Schizosaccharomyces pombe: one gene and its partners. The gene in region 2 interacts genetically with the main gene of each other region. Each region holds a gene or a part of one and is shown on either strand. Other genes may lie near its edges. The genes, in order: cdc14, sid1, ace2 and scw1.

Region 1 (4,994 bases), on a different chromosome or scaffold from region 2:
ACTTGAAGGCTCTCTTGTTTGATCGCATACAAGGTACACGGGTCACTATGGAGGGCTATCGAGAGGAAGGTACTACTACCACTCCTTTTAATATGATGATGTGTAACAATACCTCTCGTTATCATGTTGCAAGAATGGCTTTGCAACATGCTTTACACAATCCTACCGTGGCCGTTAATTGTAACATGTTGTGTGCCAAATATGCTTGGAAGCTCGAAGAGATTGAAAATTATATTATGGAAAACAAGGATGATCCTCCTGAAATTTATGCTGCTCCTGTCTTTAAAAATAAGACTTCCACATTATAGATAGAAATGGTGCATTCTTTTTGTTTATATAATGATAATTCTACAGAATTTAAATAAAATTACATCTGTTTTTGTGTTAATTAAAACGTTAGCATATCTTGTAGTGTTGGGGTGTACCCAAACATTGGTTGGTGGTATCACTTAGGTAGCTAGCTGACTTGGATTTGCCCGGTCGCGCGCATATTGCAATTGTGTTTTACACGATTTAATATACCAATTCTTATATACATTACTATCAATAGTTTGTGGCTGTATTTAGTAATCGAAACAGTAGAGGCACTAATTGATACCTTACGCTTTTTTGTAGCTCGTCAGTTTTTAACCTCTTCCTCCCCCTCTCAACGCACTCGCATTTTTACTTGTTTTCTATGAAGGTCGTTTTCATTTTTGAAGTTTCTTAATTACTAGCTTTTCGTAAATTCCCTCATTTGCGACTCTTCAGCATTCCCCTACAATATCGGAAATGTGGAACTTGGTATAAACTTCTGAACATTCTATTCCTTGAAGTGAGAAAATCAACCGCTTTTTCCAAACAGAAAAACTTTTTTTTTAATTCTTTTAATGTAAACTGGACAGATTCTAGTGTGTTTATTATATTTTGGTACTGTGTGAGATGAAGACGCACACATATATCCTCTAATTTATCAGGAATTTTCATATCAATTTCAGTATCTGGAGCGTTTCAAGCTCTTTAATCCATTTTTTTTCTAATCCTCAATCTTTTCGAAATACCTCAGTATAACTGAATGTTTGCTTGGTAAATCGGTAAAGTACAAAAGGTTGTTTTCGAACGAATGCACATCTTACATTTTATCGACTTTAAAACGTATCACCTTATTAATCATTAGATTTGAAGGCATTATTTAGAAGCTATTATACACCATCAAAACTTTTCAAGTTCATTGTCGCTTTCTAAACATTTGCTTTCAGATCGCCTTTGTCAACTAAACACTTTTATCTCACCAAATTTCCATAATAGTCATAATGGATGTTGTTTTTGCTCTTGGACATTTCTGTGAGGCCGAGGGGCCTTCCATTATTTTTTGCACTCAAAAATTGCATCGCTCTACCGTTTCAAAATTTTTTGAGCATCCTACATCTAAGCGCTCTATTGGCGTAACGGAGAATGGTAATGATTCACCAGAAGCCTTCAAAAATGAACTCGATAATCGAAACAATGCCGATTCTCAATCTTTACAAAGTTCTACCGAATCACTTTTCAAAGCTGATTCTGAAGATTATTTATGTAAAAAGGTATCGAAAGGACCAGAATCCCCCCGAGTAAACTCATTTCATAACTCATACTCTCGAAATCAAAGCCCTATTTCGAGAAAATCATCTTGTGTTACATGTAGTACTGTTTTACCCCTTGAATTCTCTGTACCTGATGTTCAACCACGACTTTATACAAACTCAAGTACAAACCCCGATGTTTTATACATGTCTAGTCAACATCCACATACTCAGCAACGATATTCTACCCTTAAGCGATTAATGGTTCGCTGCTTGAGCTGTGAATATTCAACACTATCTGAAGCTTCCGATTCTATGTCAAATCCTTTGTTCTTTGGAGACCAAGATAACGGTTACGTTATTAGTCAGTCTTTTTCTTTAAGAGATCCCTCTGCCCGGGGAGGACTTCGAAGATATGCGATTATTGCTACTTGTCCAAATCAGTTAGATTTGATTTTGCGATATAGTTTTATTTCTGAAAAGTTTCTTCATATAGTCCAGTTTCTAAGGATTTCTTCTTTCAATACAAAGAATGACTACTCCTCCTCCCGTTCAAAAACAACAGCCTCCTCTAGCAATGGAACGTTTGCATCCCCCAGTTTTAACATTTCTTCGTTATCGGGTTCTTCAAATATAGGAACTGCTCCTTCGTATGAGATATCCTCTAGTATCGGTGCAAATGTGTCATCTTTGGCCCACACACAAAGACTTCCTTCTTTCAGTTTTTTGCGTCGTCGAGACGATATTGGGGAGGGACGCAGTTTAGTTGATATCACATGTTGGGACGGAATCTTTGTCGGTCTTCACAGTTCGTTTAGCTGGATTCTGGAGGTTTGGGATCTCTTAGTAGTATGAAAGTAAAACTGGTTGACTTTTTACAAATGCTATAGGATGCTGGAATACTTTCAATAGTAAGATGATCGATTAATAATTTAACATTAACATTAGAAATTCTTTAGTAAATGAATACTAAATTTTCAAAAATAAGTTAACAATGAGACTTTAAACATTTTTTTGCACCAGGCATTGCATCTAACTAGTCGAATGTTTCGTCTAACTTGCCAAATGGTTGAAACTTATCTAAATCATCTCGAAGCCCTTGTACGTTAGAAAGATATTTGGATAGGTAAGCTTGTTTCTCAGTCCGCGTTTTCCTGTAGGCAATGACATCTATAGAATATGGTTCAGGGGATAAATAGAAATAGAAAAATTCGAGAATTTGAAATCGGGTGTCCTGACTTGTTTGTTTGTGCTTAAAAACTACGCATATCTGCTGCAAGCCATTAATCTGCTCAAAAAGCCTAATAGCCAGTGGACGATCTGCCATGATACATACAAGCGTTTTCATTGCAGCCACTTGCAACATAGATGGCTGAGATGGCTGTAATAAATGAATAAATAACCTTAAGGTAGCTTTATCTTCAAATAACGTCTGTGATTTTGGATGGATTAAAACCAATCCTTCAATCACATGCAGTAAGTCATCAATTAGCTTTTGAATGAATTGAAAGTTTTTTTCGTATGCCTCTTCATTCTGCTGATATTCAAGGAGACTGTCCAAAGCGTAAATGCAAGGGGTAGTAGAATTATACAATGGTGAATCCTGTAATTTTAGGAAAATTTCTCTTGGAATTTTATCATCATGACTAGGTTTCGCAACATGATATACAATAGATTCGACTTGACGCAAACCAATTCGAATTAGCTTTGGATTCCTCATACACAAATGCTGTTTAGCATTGTTTAATAGATCTTCCATACCGGATCATTATTTACTCATGCCAAGCGGGCAATAAAAATCCTTATTATAAATAAAAGTAAATTGAATCTTCGTTTAGTTAAAGATAAAAAAGAGACTCTATATTCGTTCTTAGTAATGATATAAATAGTAGGGTGGAGTGTTGAAGCAGCTACATTAAATTGCTATTTTCTAAAACTTGAGGTTTTGGGAGAGAAAACACCAGCTTGCTAAGATAGGATACAATTGAATATTAACAGGCGAATTGGAGCCATATTTGAAAAAGGGGCCTAAAATAACAAAACAAGCAACATCGAGTCCTTATAGATTTATATTTAGTTTACGATCAAATCCGCCTAATTTAATTATATTAATATCAATGGGTTTAGTTTGTCTCAAACGGTTGACATGAAAAAATTTAGATATTAAATTAAACAATAGTTATGTATTAATCGTAAAATTATCAAATAACAAAAACTGCAGTTAATTTTGAGCTATTTAAAACAATATAAGATTACACGAAGCTTCGAAGAAGCTATGAAATAAAACAATTAGAATGCACTAATTAACAGTTTCGATGGAGAAATAACACATGAAGTGCATACAAAATGCAAGGAAATTAACTAGAGACACCATTCACGGAAAAGTATAGAGGCTTTTCCTAGAGTGCGAATGAAAGTAGAGAAATGAGACAGAAAAGATTATGAAGATAGTTAAGGAAAAATTCATCTAAAACATAAGTGACTGTAGATTGTTGGACATAATCGTATCTTGAACGGATACCATTACCCTTTGGAGCAAACTAGTGTCTGTAGCTGTGGTAAAATGGCAATAGCAACTACGAGAAGCGATGCGATTAAGACTTTCAAACTTTAAGTAAAAGTAATACATACCGCTTCGAACTGCGTTGTCGGCAAGAGGGCATTGAGTTTGTACGAATGTTGGTGTTGAACCAACTTCTTGGTAATCAGGAAAATGCTTCTGGATGGGGGAAATGTGAACCTTTCTTTTAAATAAATCAAGTTTATTTAGAAAAAGTATCATTGCTGATTCTGAAAACCAGCTAGAGTTACATATGGAATCCCATAATAATAACGCCTCCTGCATCTGATTTCCTGAATTGTCCTCTACAAGGCATTGATCGTAACCTGCCAAAGAAACGAGAAACAACAATGCAGTGACATTTTCAAAGCAATGAATCCATTTTCTGCGCTCTGATCTCTGTCCTCCTACATCAAAAAATCGGTAATGATGACGATTTAACAGAAATGTTTCTTCTGATATACCGGTCGTCTTGATACGACAGTGAAGGATATCTTGATCAGAAGGTATATATTGTGGGTCAAAAATTCGATCAATGTGATCTTGATAGTAATAAAAATTGTCTAACAAAGAGAGGTTGGTACCACAACTTTGCACCGTACGAAGTTTGGTATCCAATGTCAAGGCATGAACAGCTTCATATATTTCTGGAGAAAATGGCTCATTGGGTTGAGAAGTGTGTTTTCTTAGGATAACTGCCCGATACTTCTCATTTTCCGGAAGTAAAGAGACATTACTATTATCCATAGCTTCAAGAAGAAGACATAGAGAGGAGATGATATTTTCAAAAATCATCACTCGATACTGCTTTCTAACTACTTGACTAAAACCGGGGCTATACAATAATCTCATCTGCTTCATAATGGTCGTTTTCCCACTATCACCGGCGCCTA
Region 2 (7,568 bases):
ATCATCTTTTATGGTCCTTCATTTCTAATACATAATGTCAAACGTCTATCTTGCCTCCCGTATAAATTACATTCTTTAGACAATCAATTAACTATATGATTTTATTTTATTTTTTCTATGCCTTTATACACTCTTTTATTGTGGTTTTATTCAACGTATAGTACATATGCTTTCATAAGTTGCTCAATTTTTATATAATTTTGATATCGAATAAATTTTCTGTATCTTATAAAATTTCTTGCATAAGTACTTAAAATTTCTCGTTTTGTGTCTTTCTGAAATAAAATTGTGCAATGTGTGTTTATAGTCAATGCTTAATAATATGTTACAAATATTTAGCTACATGACAATATGATCTTTCATTGCCTTGAGAATGGCTTTCAAAATTGTTTCTATAAATGTGAAGTAAACTATTTAGTTAAGCAATACAAATGCCTAAAAAATATTTGATAGTTTTTTGGAATTCCTAATTTGTATTATGCGAATTTCTACATCATCTTCCCTTTTGTTTTCTGTAAAAATGATTATTTGGAGTATTGTTGATGCGTGTGTTTGAGTGCACGAGGCTTTGTTTATTTCATAATAGGTCAGCCCACGCAGTGTCTTGGTTGTCTTTTTCCAACAATTAGCTGAAAAGCGCAAAAGGTCCAAACAGCACCTAATAGATTTTAGAAGTATTTAAAAAAGGTGATTTATTTAAAAAATTGATTTAAAGCATAAGATTGTCGTAATCATGGAACATGGCCTCTCGCCAAGGCTTCAGCAATGTGAATGAAGATGAACCCGAGTTGCCCCCTTCGGTTTTATCATTGAAATCAAAGTTCGAGTCATTGAGTACCGGTGACCTAACTAATTTGGACGAAAAAACTGCTAAAAGAAGAACTGTAAAAGGTTGTAAAAATGGCACTTCTGAGCCAAACGTTTTTAAAGCAAGACCTATTCCACCGCCGAGGCAAGTCTCATCGACTATAGGAAGTTCGACTGGACGAAAAGTTAGTGGTTCAATTCAAAGGCTAGCTTCTAATTTTAAAAATCCTTCAAACCCCCACGCTGATGTTTCAAAAATAGATCGTCTACCTAGTGATTCTTCTGAATCTCACGTAGCTACTCCATCTTCTCCTACTATATCTAATTCATTTGTTTCTGTTTCTCCATTACTTAAGCGACCTCAACAAAAAGGGCCTGAAATTTCTTTTCAATCATCTGTACAATCTACCAAAGGAAATGATCTAATGAAACACGATGATACCAATAATCATCAAATACCACCCCCTAAACCCAATTTTTCTTCGAAAGCAGGTTCTTCAAGCCCGATATCTGTATCTCCATTAAAAAATGTTAAGGCATATATTTCTCAGTCTCCAACTCACTCCGAAGCCTCTTCGGTTCTGTCTTCTGAAGAAGAAGAAGAAAACGTTATCAATTCTAGTAAAAGTGTGCCCTCCTTTGATTTGCATGATCCATTTAGCCAGACCTTTGGAAAGGAGTGTCCCATATCGACGGCGCCTCCTGTTTTGAACATTGGAGACAGGTCTTTGGAAACTCCTCCTCCAATTCCCTCTCCAAGACCTCCACAGCCAGTTGCTGTTGAGGCTATACAGCAATCGCGTGCGGTAATATCTCAACAATTACCGCTTCATGTATCTCCCCGAAAGCCCCCAAAACCACCGCTGCGTAAAGTTTCTACCCAGCGCTCTTCTTCCCCAATAGAGAATTTGGCTACTAAAAGTGACGCCAGTCTTGTTACTGGTTTACAGTCGTCTCCCTACACTCATATTGCTCCTGCATCAGAGATGTCTTTAATACCTGAGAAACCCAGATTACCTCCCCGTCCTAGTCACACTTTATCAGAACTGTCTAGTCCAGCTTTAACATCTGAAAACTTATCTTCTAAACCATCCCCTTTGTTTCCTCCACCACCACCGAGGGTGAAATCCTTAGCTACTAACAAACCTGTCTCTATGCCTGTTTCTACTGAGCAAAGTGATCCTTCTGTTGCTGCTAGTTCCTCTTCGTCATCGCAATTAGATGTTGTTTTAAAAGGAAGCATACCAGATACTTCTAGCGTTAGGAGGAACCCGCCCTGTTTTGTTAACGGTGTTGAATCAATTAACGTAGATTTTGAAGCTAGAATCTTTGATGTTAGTGGTGATCGCCTTGTTTTAGCTGGAAACGGAGGACTTCGTGTTTATGACACCGTTACTGGTCTTTGTCATTGGCATATGCCTCTAGGGGATACGAAGGTAACGTCCTTATCATTTAAATCATCCCCGGAGAATTACTCTGACGATGGCAGATTTGTTTGGTTTGGAACGAGAGATGGGATGTTATGGGAAGTCGATGTTCAAAATCATCATATCGTTACTAAGAAGTCTGTTTCCAATTGTCCTATTACTTACGTTATGGTCTATAAAAATGAAATGTGGACGTTGGACGATATGGGAAAACTGTATGTATGGCAGGAAGATGAAATTATGGGTTTAAGTATACAGTCTACTCCACATAGTATTCGCACCATTCCTCATGCCACTCATGCTATGGTTTTAGATAATCGGCTTTTATGGGTTGTTGTTGGGAAATCAATTTATGTATATGATCCTTCAACTTCAGAAAATGAGTCGGCAAGTGTTTTGGCGAAGCCCATGACTCCACCTGGTTTGATAGGTGATATCTCTTGTGGCACTACTATTTCAAACTTTACGGATTTGGTCTTCTATGGTCACGTTGATGGAAAAATATCCATCTTTTCGAAAACCCAATACCGTTTTTTGGAGCTAATTACTAGCAGTTCATTCTATAGAATTTGTTCACTAGTTGGTGTTGGAAATACACTTTGGGCAGCCTACACGACAGGCATGATTTACGTATTTGATGTTTCTGAGAGTCCTTGGCGCCTCTTAAAAAGTTGGCATGGTCATAAAGCAAGTCACAATGGAGCTACCACTATACTTGGTATTGATGTGAATAGCGTATGGAAAGCTAAAAGGCTCCAAGTTGTTAGTATGGCTTCTTCAGTTGTCAAGTTTTGGGATGGTTTAATGATGGGTGACTGGTTAGCTACCGAAATGCGAAGCCGCTTCCCAGAATATAGTAATTTTACTGACGTGTCTATACTTATTTGTTCCTGGAATGCCGGAGCTTCAAAGCCATCTGATCTAGATAGTGATACTATTGGAGCTAGTATGATTCCAATGATGATTCGAGACAATGGATACCCAGATATAGTTGTGTTTGGTTTTCAAGAGCTAGTTGATTTGGAGAATAAAAGACTCACAGCTAGAAGCATCCTTTCAAAGTCGAGCTCCAAAGGTGGTTCGTCTAACAGTGCTAATATTTCCAGTCAGTATCGTTTATGGCGTGAAAAATTAGAATCTGAAATGATGCGGGTAAGCTCAAACGATGATTATCAGGTTTTGGTATGTGAAAATTTGGTTGGTCTTTTCTCATGTGTTTTTGTAAAAAATAAGTTACAAAGCAAAATTCGGATGTTACAATCGACAACTGTAAAAACGGGACTAGGTGGTTTGCATGGTAACAAAGGTGCAATAGTCGTTCGCTTTCTGGTAGATGATACTTCATATTGCATAGTAAACTGTCATTTGGCTGCTGGTCAATCCAATAAAGCAGCCAGAAATAATGATTTGGCAACAATTTTAGACAATGCTTCTCTTTTTCCTGAAAATGATGAAACTGATCAATTGAATACATTCGTTGGTGGTGGCGATGGCTCTTTAATTATGGATCACGAAGTTTGTGTTTTGCATGGTGATTTAAATTATAGAATCAACACATTGAGACCTAAAGCTTTAGATTTAATTAAAAAAAACGACATAAAAACTTTGCTCCAAAGCGATCAGCTTCTTGTTGAGCGAAAAAGAAATGCCGGATTTCGTCTGAGAACATTTACTGAACCAGAAATCACGTTTGCCCCAACTTACAAGTACGACGTTCATAGTGAGCAGTACGACAGTAGTGAAAAAAAGCGTGTGCCTGCCTGGTGTGATCGTATCTGTTATCGTGGAAGTCCCGACTACATCTCTGCAGAAAACTATACCAGGTACGAACTGAAGGCATCAGATCACCGACCAGTATCTGCTTTAATACATTCCAAAGCGAAGATGGTAAATGCGCAATCTCAGGGGTCCACATGGGACGTGGTCAAACGAAAGTGGATTGAGTATGCTGATGAATTTAAGAGAAAGGCTAAGTATGTTTTTTTTTGGAGAATTTTGCTAACCAACCAGAATAACCTATGTCATGAATTATACTTCTGTGTCTTATCAAACGGCTGAACAATATTTGTCTGGAAATAACTGGAATGTACAAAATGCTTTAAAGCAAGTGTCAAGTTGATTTCGAATAGTTCTCGTTTGGATGTGTTTATATATATTATGTAGATTAAATTATAGTAGAATATGCCATTATAAGTTCATTTAAATACAAAATTGTGAATGCTGTAAACAGGTTGTTTACGAGTTTTTAGTAAGCTATCCATTTAGACTTCTTCTTTTCTCAGTTTCTTCAAGCCACCGTGAAAATAGTAGTTGTGATATGGGGCTCCGCTTTTGCTTTTTGTGATGCAGTCTGTTGTCTGGAGTAATTTGGTTAACAAATTTTGAGGACAGATTTTTATCTAAAGAAATGAAAGATGTATAAAAAGATTCTAAAGATGAGCGCTGCGTTGCTGACAATTTATCATTTAATAACATCGATCGTATGGTGGACTTAATATAATGTTTCATAGCAAAATCGGAAGTCAACGATTTATGATAAGAGCTACCTTTTTCAGACAATGACTTGGAAAAAGGATGCGGTGTCGCTTGATCACTCATTATAGTTTTCTCTAAATATTTTATTGATGAAGGCAATTCCTCTTTATTTTGTGAACTGATGATGGAATTTTTAGGAATGCTAGTATTCCCTAACACAGTTGAGTCAGATTTCTTTACAGTTTCAAATGTCCAATCCTCAATGTCAGCATTTCCTTCAGCAATTGGTTCTTCAAAGGGCTTTAAAGTATTATTTATGGTTTCTTCCAATACACTTTGATCCGAATCATCAAATAATTTATTCTCCTTCTGAACAAGCAAAGGAATAATGTCTTTCACAGTTCCTGCGCTTTTGATGAATGGGTGTTGAAGGAGTTCTTTAGCTGACCATCGCATATTAGGATTGAGATCTAAGCAGCAGGACACAAAATCACGGAATGTTGGACTGAAATGATCATCTAGCTTTGGAGGCTCGGATTGAGGAATTTCAAAGATGACACGCATTGGATGCATTGTAGCGCGGGGCGGAATTCCGTTAGCCATTTCAATAGCCGTAATTCCAAGAGACCAAATGTCAGCAGCTAAACCATAACTTGTTTGTTGTATTACTTCCGGTGCCATCCAAAATGGCGTTCCAACAAACGTGTGTCTACGCGAAGCAGCGTTCGAAAGTTGAGCGGCAACTCCAAAGTCAGCAAGCTTTACGTTTCCGGTAGAGGAAGATAGTAGTATATTGGCGGCTTTGATATCTCTGTGGATTTTGTTTTGTCCATGAAGATAATTTAGCCCATAAAGGACCTCTCGAAGAATGATTGAAATTACTTGTTCATTCAACCTTCCCATTTTCAAAAGTCCCGAAACTGATCCTCCATCCATATGCTCCATCAAAATCCATAATGTGTATCCGTCAACAAAACAACCGTAATACTGAATTACATTGGAACTGTTGCAATTCGATAACATAAATACCTCTTGTTCGATGTCGGTAATGTCGTCAATACCTGTTTCTAAATCAATCTGCAACTGTAAGTTTTTTGTGATACTAAAGAAGAGTAAAAATTAATTAGTCTTACCTGTTTAATAGCGATAATGTCGCCAGACACATTTTCACGTGCTTTCCAGACAACCCCAAATGAACCTGATCCTAATTTCCGTAGCAGAGTATAAGAATTAGCATTGAGAGGATACATTTCATCAATATTTTGACTGCTCAAATCTGAGGTTGAGCCTACTTTCGGTTTCGTTTTACAAGCACAAGCTAGATGCACCACGAAGTACTTTGTTTATTACTTAGAGGATTATAATGAGCTACTCCGAGACGCCTATTCCAGTAAACTTAACATTACCAACTTGTTACGAAGTATATATAATTAGACTAGTTTATTATAAAGTATCGAGTTTTATGTCTGAATCTACCAAAGAGACAATAGAAGTTTTATACGAAATAGGAACATTGCTTGGAACTGAACTTGATAAAACAACGCTTTCACTCTGCATCAGTCTTTGTGAAAACAACGTACACCCAGAAGCAATAGCTCAAATAATTCGGGAAATACGTATGGCTCAGGAACAAACTGTTGACACAGAACCAAGTTAATGGCAAGAAGTTTAATCTCAATAGTTGACCTCGGGGTTTAGTATTTCTTTTATCTAATGTCTTCTTTAAACAGTGTTCTACCTTCAAATGCATGCGCAGAGATTATTGAAGGGAAAGACAAGGTTCACAATGTAGTTATTTTAATGCATGGACTTGGAGATTCTCACAAGAGTTTTGCAAATATGGCAAAGAACGTTCCGTTGCCCAACACTAGTTATATTTCCTTACGTGGACCATATCGATTACCATTAGATTTTGAAAATCCTGGAGGCAATTGGATGTGGGGAGAGGATGTCCATTTTGATCAAAACGGGGAACTGCAATCTGAAGCCGATTTCTCTAAAAGTTTTACGATGATTTCAAATTTAATTGGCAATCTACTCTCTTACGGTATATTATCTTCTAGAATATTTTTTTTCGGGTTTGGTCAAGGAGCTATGGTTGCTTTATATAGTTGTTATAAATTGTCTACTAAATACCAGCTTGGAGGGATATTTTCCTTTGGAGGTACTCTACCGCTATCCATAACTTTGCCCAATCATCCATTTCATGTTCCAGTGTATTTGTTTGAAAAGCGATTGCATTGTTCATGCAGCGAATATGAAGAATCGCGATTACGTAAAACATTTAAACCATTTCACCTCACATGTTGGAATCGTGATGATAAAACTGACATGCCTTCATCCCCTAGAGAATGGTATACATTCGTTCAATCTATTAGTAAACATTTGTATATTCACAACACGTTGTTTGAAGATGCAATTCCTCTTACATCTTTTTAGAATTGATTTATTTAAGTTAACATTTGTTCACAATAAAGTTAATATTCATTTGGGCATAGATATAACAATAACTCCTCTAGCCATTATGTGATTAAAATTAGTACGTTTACCTTTTGATCATTAAGATTTTCAATCGACAAGATAACTAAGATCCGGAAGCTTATCAACAATTCTATTAATTAGTTGATTTTGGTCAACTGTTTTTATATTTCCACGCCCTGCTCTCTCATTATTAAGAAACGAAGTATTGATCGATTGAATAACAGCCGGAGTGTCTTTAGGAGCTGACAATGAAGTAGAAGGTGAACTAAAATTCTGAAAAATTAGAGTATTTGGCTCAACTTGAGACTCTTCACTTACATCATCAACGGAAGCAGAAGCTAAATTCGATGAGTTTTTCGAGGTATCTTGGGAACTGAC
Region 3 (4,258 bases), 1.3 Mb from region 2:
AAATAGAAATGAATTATCTTTTCTCTTGCCGACAAAATTTCCTCCAATGACCAGCAATAATAGTTAAAACAATCATTGGTTTCTCTGTTTAAGTCATAGTGATTAATTTGTTGAATTATTATTATCATAATAAATGCTTGCTTGGCAGCATACTACAACCACTGTTTTCCAATGAAATACTTCGCATACTATAGTAATTAAATACAAGTTTTCCCTAGAAATACCAACTTAAACATATGTTGACTAAACATCGGTGCGAGTGAAAGCAAACACTAATTCTTACTCATGTATCCAAGTTGTTTGTCAGGTTTGGGGAAACTAGTTTTACCATTTCAGCCGTTCAACGATACGAACAACTTCATAGTTGTATTTCCATTTCACAAAGATTAATCTGTAGATTTTAGATGATGCAGAGTTATACACAATACTAGGGTGATGAATAAATATACAAAAGACAGATACAAGTTGATAAATTATCAAAATTGTCACAGCATTAGTTCATGTACGATGCTTGAATTTGAATTTATATAAAAGCAAATTAAAAACAATAATATTAGTAAAATTAAAAAATCCCAAAAAAAAACCAAACATAACTCATTATAATGCAATGCGATGCAAGTTGTACAGCTGTCATCATTAGTGCTGTCTGCGATCTACGCCGCCAACACATATATTTCTCTGCTTATGCCGATTTAAGGCATCAAGTCGGTTAAATCTCTTTAAGCATTCACATACATATGGCCTGCCATTTTCGTGAATCCTCAGATGACGCTTAAGATCGTGGTGACGAACAAAGCCAGCTTTGCATAAGTCACAGCGATACGGACGGTCGCTCAGATGTGTTTGAATATGCGATTCAACATTATATTTGCGAGCAATACGTTTATTGCACCCGTTGTACAAACAGACGTACTTTCCATCTGCTTCAGGGCCGCAATATAAGCTAGCCATTGTCTCCGGAGGAATTCTACAAATCCTAGTTGATTGCTTGCGAGTTTTGCATCTATGATCGTATGAAATTCTGACCGGAGGTTTGGAATCATGCTCGGTGACTTGAGGAGTAATTGATAAATCAGCAGATTCAATTTTTGGAGCTAATTGTTCTTCTTCCTTGACAGTGATACAAGGTTCAGGTTTCTTGGTAACTATGCAAGATTCATAAGGTGCACTTAATGCAAACTGCTGTGTCAAAGTGTTGTTGATATTTGCGTTCGATATGTCAAGTCCATGATCGCAAACGGATGAGAATTTTTCAAATTCAGAAACGTATTCAGCAGGTGATGATAACTTTGCAAACGCTTTCTGGTTGTCAGTATGCCTGCATACATCCAAATGGGAAAACGAAGAATCTAGAGCAAAGGAGGGCTTTTGAGGCGAAGTGGGCTCTAGCTTTACAAGTTGGGCAAATGGGGATACAGGGGAGATATTAGGTGCAGTCTCTGGACTCGATAAGTCTACAGGATGTGCCGGACTTGGTTGGGATATTTGAAAGTTCAATTCTTCAAATGAAGGCGCACCGTTTATCTCATCTAATCCAGGGGGAGAGGATGGGAGGAACATAAACTCATTAAATGATTCCAATTGCGAAGAGCTGGGAAGAACGGAAGAGGCAGGACCCGAGGTTTCAGGTATACTTGAGGAAAGGTAGTCGAAATTTTCGAGGTGATCTTTGTTGGAGCAAGTTTCCGTCTTTATTTCTGGTATGTCAAACTCAGGAAACGAAAGGACTTGTTGTTGAGAGTCCAGCTCATCAATCCAATTTGATGCATCATAACCAATTTCGGAAAAGGCCTGTTGAGAGTTGGTCAAGGAAAATGCGTCATTGTTATTAAAATTTTGCTCGGTATGGATTTGTGATACGCAAGTTAAAGGCGAGGAAGGGGGTGATAAGGAAGCATCAAAGGAGGATGCATACGAGTGAGAGTCGGGGAGCGATATTTGGTTCGATAAAAAGTATGCAGAATTCGCTTCCAACAAAGGGTTAAACGGTGTTTTTAGAACAGAACTATAGTCAAACTGATCTTGAAAGTTCTGAAGATGAGAAGGCGGTGAAGGGATAACAGCTTGATTTAAAGACACCTCATTTTCAAAGGGAGCGAAGGAGGAAAAAGAAGTATGCTTGCTATCGCCAAAAGTTTCATAATCCCTTTGGTACGAATGATTACAAGCTGGACTCTCTTCTTGTCGAAATGATTCAAACGACTTTTGCGAAGAAGATGATAAATATGAAAGCGACATTGTCTTGTTTACTTAGGATAGCGAGTATCTAGTGCAATGCGTAGAGAAATCAAGGAGAGAACGATGAGAGAAATGACTCTTGAAAAGAGTGCTTGATAACTTGAAGTGAGATGAAAGTGTGGCTCAAAGCCAGTCTAACCCAGTAGATGATTGAACTAATCACTCTTCGATTTTTTTTTGTTTGTTACAGCAATGTTTGGTGCGCTGGCTATTTGTTTATATCAAATAGCTACTCCGTTGCTATGACGACAATTGTTGAATTTTATGCTTCACTTTACCGCAAAACAAGTCACTATTTGTTTACATTGCATGGATTACCGAACCATATCACAACAACGCAATACAAGTGTAAACACAGACCCAGGGATTGTTTATTTACCTTTTGTTGCCAAAGGGACAAATCAACTATTTTTTGAATTAAACCAGTAAAAGGTTTGATTGAAAGACACTACCACTAATAAACAGGATAATCACGGCTATGAAAATGTCTACGCTTCAACAACTGGATCATGGATGATATTAGAAAACATAGATTAAGTATGACAAGCCAAAAAAAAACGGTAACCAACCTGAAAAAACGACAACGACGTTGAGATCAAAAACCTTAAGGTATTAGTATTAGTATAGAGCTAGCAAGAGAAAAAATGCCATGGAAAAGTTTTTAAATGCAATGAATAAGTTACTTACAACACTGACAATCAAAAGGGCAATCCGGTGTACCTCCACCTTGGCCAATGTTTAATTCCTCCTCGTCATATACAAGAAACCCTTCCTCGGTACGCTTTCCTAAAACACAAAACGTTAATACAATTACTGATGATAAGGAGAAAAGTGCCGTTGCTAGGTAAGTATTGCATCGTTCGGCAAACATTCCCGTAAACAGAATAGCGAATAAGGTTCAATACCACACAATAGAGCTTAATGATTTGGAGTCTCCACCAACACTAAACATCATTGTGAAATGTATCTCCCTAGAAAAACGTAATCTAGCTCTAGCAGTATATAATAAATAAATAAGTATATAGCACAGTTCGAAGTTTCTCAATCTTTTAGACAATAAATATGAATTTGAGGTCAAAGAATTGACAAACAACGCGGATGCCAAACATGAACGAATGCAATCATTAACCAAGTAGCGAGAACGTATGTAAGGATGAACTATCAAACGGCAAAAAGTGTCTTACTTCCTGAGGCTCCCTTTGGATCTAAAAATAAATCGTCTTGGTTATTAGTAGGTTTTGGACGACTTGGAGTAGATTTTGTCTTGGCTCCTTTCTTAGGGGCTTTCGCCTCCGACTTTGAGTCATTTGACTTTTCATTTGCAGGGTTTGCCTTTTTAGAAGCAAAAATGTCGTCGATTTCCATCTTTTAAATACTCGTAGAGAGGAGTTTGCCAAGTCAATGGCAATTGTATAATTGAGTAGAGAGACAGTTTGTTGTAGCTTGCAAACTTGCTAGAAATTCTTTTGCGGTACCGTGCTTCATAAAATAAGAATTCTCTAAAATGCTTAAATCTGCATAACGTATTCTCTCGTATTACGGTAAAGAATTTGTAATATTTATAAGAATGATTCTTCAGAAGAAACTTGTACCAGCATTAAGGCATGAGATTGATCGATTCCTTTTTTTTCCTTTGGTTCTTTATTATGTTTAAAATTGTTTAATTTTGTTTAGAAGCTGTATCACCTCTGTCATCGGTATTTCGAAACGGCAATAAAATGTAGACAATTCTTTGGCCAAGCTTTCTTTATAAAAGCATATTTAGGTCAACTCTATCCTAATACCATAAATTAACACTTTTTGTCTTCATTTAAGAAGCGAATTATTGCTGTATCAAATTAACAAATGCAAAATCTCATTGCTTAATAAACGAAATACTTTAGTAATTAAGCATAAGATAAAAATAAAGTGAATACTATTTGACAATGAAAATCAGCTCAAAACCTCTGTCAATTCTTTTTCAGCCTAGAAACCACCTTAGAGAAATAAGGCAAAACATTTGAATACAAATATACAAAAC
Region 4 (4,076 bases), on a different chromosome or scaffold from region 2:
AGTTCCTCGCAATTTTAAAAAAAGTAAATCAATTTCAACTTAATAGGGAAAGGACGGGATTACTATTATACAGTTTTTGTTGGAAATATTTTATTCACCTAGACTATACTAATATTTATAAAAGGATTAAGTGTTTGCTTATCAATGTATCCTAAAAATTCTTGTATGTAAGCTTAAGTTGGGTGTTACAATAAAAATACATCTAACCAAGTTGTTACAGTACTTGTTTAGCAATTTAAGATGGGTTCATTTAGAAGCAAAAGTCGATATTATTATGTAAATTGATATGTGTAGCAGAAGTATATGGAAATGATGAGCAAATGATAAATCCTAATGACAACTAAACAATGCAAGTACCCATCTTATATAAGAGTGAAATAAAACAGATCGCATAAATCGACAAATTGTAATTAAGCTTAACAGATGGTTAAAGTTGCATGCAGTCAAAGTGGAATAGATCGCAACTTTTGATTAACAAAGAATCAATATGCAAAACTCAAAAAAAAAAAAAGAGAAACAATATGCTTAAAAAATTTGGACCTAAAGTCCTTGCAAGGTATTGATGAATAATGATAAAATGAAGACGAGAAAATGCTAGATGAGCTATTTGCCATACATTAGATTATTACCCCAACTGGGACTGGCGTGGACTTCGTTATGTCCACCAGTATGATTAAGCAAAGAGTCTGTATTGTAATTATTCATGGAACCAGAGTGAAGGTTACGAACGTTTCCATTATGGTTGTTATGCGATGAACTTGATGAGCGCACTCCCAATGGGTTCTTCGAAAAACTCAAACGAATACCACCTTTAATGCTACTGCTAAGACAAACACCTTGTAAATTCTTCAAGGCTTCCATGGCGTATGGAATGTTTTCAAATTCAACAAAACACATGGGGCCATTGCCTTTAGTGCGGAAACAAAGTCTTTTGTATCCAACTTGAGTGGAAAACAAAACTTTCAACTCTTCCTCGGAAGTAGAAGGAGGAAGATTTCCAACATAAATGGTGTTACAAGGAGGATTTTGATCAGCAGGGTTGGTATTCGTGGGGGTAGAAGCAGGGATGCGTTGATGAATTCCATGACTGGAGGAATAAGCCGAAAATGGTGTGGAAGGTGAAATGGTAGAAGCTGAAAATGGGTAGTCTCTTGATGTTGATGGTGTCAAGGGAGGAGGGCTTGTTGTACTGAATGCACTGTTTGCCGAAAAGACACGAGGATGGGGTGATTGAGCACTAGAATTTTGGGTATGAGCGCTATAACCCTTTTCAGATGAAAGGTAATTGCGCGCCACGTTGGTGTTAATAGATAATGAGTTAAATCGCAAAATCGGAGGAACACCGTCTTGACGCAAATTGGTACTACTTTTGGAAGGAGTGGGTGACCACGTAGGTGAACCAACTTCATCCTTGGCTAACACATTCGCGAGTGTTAAAGGATAAGAAACAGGGAAAGAAGACCACAACCTATCGGAATGCAAACTACCTCCATTGTTAGGAGCCTGAAAAGTGCTATCACCCAAAGGTGTTTTTGAATGACGATAAGCAGATTCCGAATGATTTGCAGTAGGCATACTGGCTGACACATGATTACTTGACCTGCGGAAAAGATCACGATTTCCTAACAGTGGACGAGTTGGAGAATGGTTTCGAGACAGTCTGTTAAATGAAACACTACTCTCAGAGCCCTCAGTTTCGTCGCTAAGATTTGTTTGACTTCCCTTTCGATAATTGTCTAAAATTATCATGCTGCACGCGGAATAAACATCGCTAGATAGCAAAGTGTCTCTAGCAGATGCAGCAGCATCTCGGGATGAAAACACCGCCAATCCATGAGCAACTTCATTATCCACGGATACAGGATTAAGCTCGACGGATACTACATTCGTAGCGAATAAAAAGGTACATAAAAACTCTCTGGGTGTTAAGTCCCTAGGTAAATCCTCAATCCGCAAAGCATAATATCTAGGAAAACCGAATCCAACCTTAGGAGGAGCAGAGGCTAATCCACCGTTGAGGTTAGAGAGGAGTCTACCAATCGGAGTTGTGGATTTTTCCACAGATGCATAAGTAGGTAAACCGTCAGATTCAGCTTTCCCAGCTTGGCTGTGAATAGCCTGAGGAGACATGTGAAGAGCATGACATTCATCATCTCCATTCAGAATACCGGTTGGAACCAACGATGAACCACGTAGCGCATCTTCAGTAAACTCGGTTTCGTCCCCGACTTTGGTCTTACTGGATAACGATAAAGGCTTTTCAATAGCGCTCGGTGATCCCACAAACATTTTGCAAATTATATATAATGGTAATTGAAAAGAAGAGAAAAAAGAATGACAAAGTGGTTGATAAAGTAACCAAAATAAGCAATAGATGCCTAAAAGTAAAACACAAATGAAATAGCAGTAGTTGTTAAATAAACCCCAAACGATAATAAATGAGGCTTCAAGCTTAATAACACGAAATAGTTAATAAGTGGAGTAAAAAGTTAGAAACCTAGTTGGTCGACTAAAAAGAAAGTGTGTAAGTAATAAAAATAAGCAAGGGCAATGAAGAAAAATAAAAAATTCAGTAAAAATTGTTAGCAAGTATTAGAAAAATCCAAATACTTGACGCGAAAGAATTAGAAGGGCAACAACCTAGAATACTGGACGAAGATAATAAAAGAAAGACTGTAACTTCAAGAAAACGAGAGCAAAGGGTAAACTGTTGACCACCACAAATAATTCTAGTTGCTAAAAGAGAGACAGATACAACTGTGAAGCAAAAAACACAAACTGAAAATGAAAAAAAGATGACTGAAATATGCAAAAATACCGAGCTAACAAAAAGTCTAGGGCAAGGCTTATGAGGAAGAAATCGTCAAAAGTATCGATAAAAAGACTTCGAAGGTATTCGAAATGCTTAAAAAAATCAGTTAGCGATTTTTTTTTTTTCAAAAAAAAAGAAATGGTTGCAGATGGAAAAATAAAATAAACAATCAACTTTTCAATCAGCAGAGTATAAACAAATATACAAACAAGTAAACAAAAGACACTTGTTTTTTTTTGGAGAGGTAAATCAAAGGAAAGCAATCGGGCAAAAAGTGAGAAGCAAATAAAATATACCGCTATCAACAAAGAGTAAATATCCAACAACAAGAACAATCAAGATAGAAGTAAAATTGCTGGGAAGATTGGCAAAACGTAAGCAAAAGAAGTATGAACACGGTTTATAAAGGAGCGAAGAATGAAAGGAAAAGCAAAATAAAAGAAGCTTTTCTAAGTAACGTTAAATAAGAGAGATCAAGTTAAAAGAAAAAAGGCAAAAAGATTCCAAGAAATTTCAAATAAAAAGAAAAAAACTAAGAAGTAAAGTGAATATGAAATCTTTGTGAAAAAATGATTGAAACTTGATCAAAATAATAATAAGGCATAAAATAGGGTCAGAAGAAAAAACAAAGAGGGAAGAAAGAGAAAAAAAAAAGAAAAAGAATAAAACAAAAAAGGTAACCCACACAAAAACGAAGAGACTAAATATTATATAAATGTCACAAAACTTTGTATGAACAAAAAGATGGGCAAAAAAAAAGACCAAACGTTTAATAAGCAAATACCCTTAAGTAATGAGTAAAAGGCGGAAGAAATGAATCAACGAAATCAAACGAGTGAATAAAATTTCGAAAAAAAAAAAAATAAGGAGCCGGGTATCTGAATGAAAACGAATCGTGACTATTTTATGGATTGAGAATAGGGAAATCCTAAAAACACAAAATTGTTTAGTGGGGATAGAAATGGATAGATATGAAAATGAAATGAATAATGAAAGGAGGTCGAATAAAAACCCAGTTGAAAAACTATTTATGGCCAAAATTCAACAAAGCAACAAATGGCTAAAGTTCAATGAAAGGGTACAGAAAAATAAAAAAGAAAAGTAAGACTTTCAACACACACGTTGTGCTTCCGAAACGGATATAATTTTCCTTGTCGTGCAGGCTGAGTCAACGAGCCCCTAAGATGAAAAAATGAGAATTTCCGTAAAAACAATGAAAAGAAAATATTTAATAGGGAGAAACCGAGGAACGCAATAAATAGCA

What was found.
Region 1: mutations in sid1 (region 2) and cdc14 are lethal when combined (synthetic lethality), as found in Schizosaccharomyces pombe (one study listed by BioGRID).
Region 3: of sid1 (region 2) and ace2, a mutation in one rescues a mutant of the other (synthetic rescue), as found in Schizosaccharomyces pombe (one study listed by BioGRID).
Region 4: of sid1 (region 2) and scw1, a mutation in one rescues a mutant of the other (synthetic rescue), as found in Schizosaccharomyces pombe (2 studies listed by BioGRID).

The regions. Positions count from the first base shown.
Region 1 is NC_003423.3:2,330,576-2,335,569, reverse strand, and holds cdc14 (SIN component Cdc14), read right to left. Parts: upstream 3,445-4,994; 5' UTR 3,301-3,444; coding exon 2,578-3,300; 3' UTR 2,397-2,577; coding exon of another isoform or gene 1,293-2,396; 3' UTR 541-1,292; downstream 1-540. Other genes in the region: SPOM_SPBC24C6.09C (phosphoketolase family protein), read left to right, coding at 1-308; folliculin bhd1, read left to right, coding at 1,293-2,396; gpa1 (G-protein alpha subunit), read right to left, coding at 4,009-4,994. UniProt on the Schizosaccharomyces pombe protein: Has a role in the septation initiation network (SIN) required for cytokinesis.
Region 2 is NC_003424.3:1,984,148-1,991,715, reverse strand, and holds sid1 (PAK-like GC kinase Sid1), read right to left. Parts: upstream 6,019-7,568; 5' UTR 5,960-6,018; coding exon 5,843-5,959; intron 5,787-5,842; coding exon 4,488-5,786; 3' UTR 4,354-4,487; coding exon of another isoform or gene 4,245-4,353; 3' UTR 4,208-4,244; coding exon of another isoform or gene 741-4,207; 3' UTR 482-740; downstream 1-481. Other genes in the region: inp53 (inositol polyphosphate phosphatase), read left to right, coding at 741-4,207, 4,245-4,353; putative mitotic spindle organizing protein Mzt1, read left to right, coding at 6,172-6,366; SPOM_SPAC9G1.08C (phospholipase), read left to right, coding at 6,423-7,148; SPOM_SPAC9G1.07 (Schizosaccharomyces specific protein), read right to left, coding at 7,278-7,463, 7,509-7,568. UniProt on the Schizosaccharomyces pombe protein: Has a role in the septation initiation network (SIN) required for cytokinesis.
Region 3 is NC_003424.3:3,238,730-3,242,987, forward strand, and holds ace2 (DNA-binding transcription factor Ace2), read right to left. Parts: upstream 2,425-4,258; 5' UTR 2,239-2,424; coding exon 637-2,238; 3' UTR 503-636; downstream 1-502. Other genes in the region: SPOM_SPAC6G9.01C (uncharacterized protein), read right to left, coding at 2,834-2,841, 2,926-3,024, 3,423-3,603. UniProt on the Schizosaccharomyces pombe protein: Regulates the transcription of genes required for cell separation.
Region 4 is NC_003421.2:671,689-675,764, reverse strand, and holds scw1 (RNA-binding protein Scw1), read right to left. Parts: upstream 2,290-4,076; coding exon 604-2,289; 3' UTR 514-603; downstream 1-513.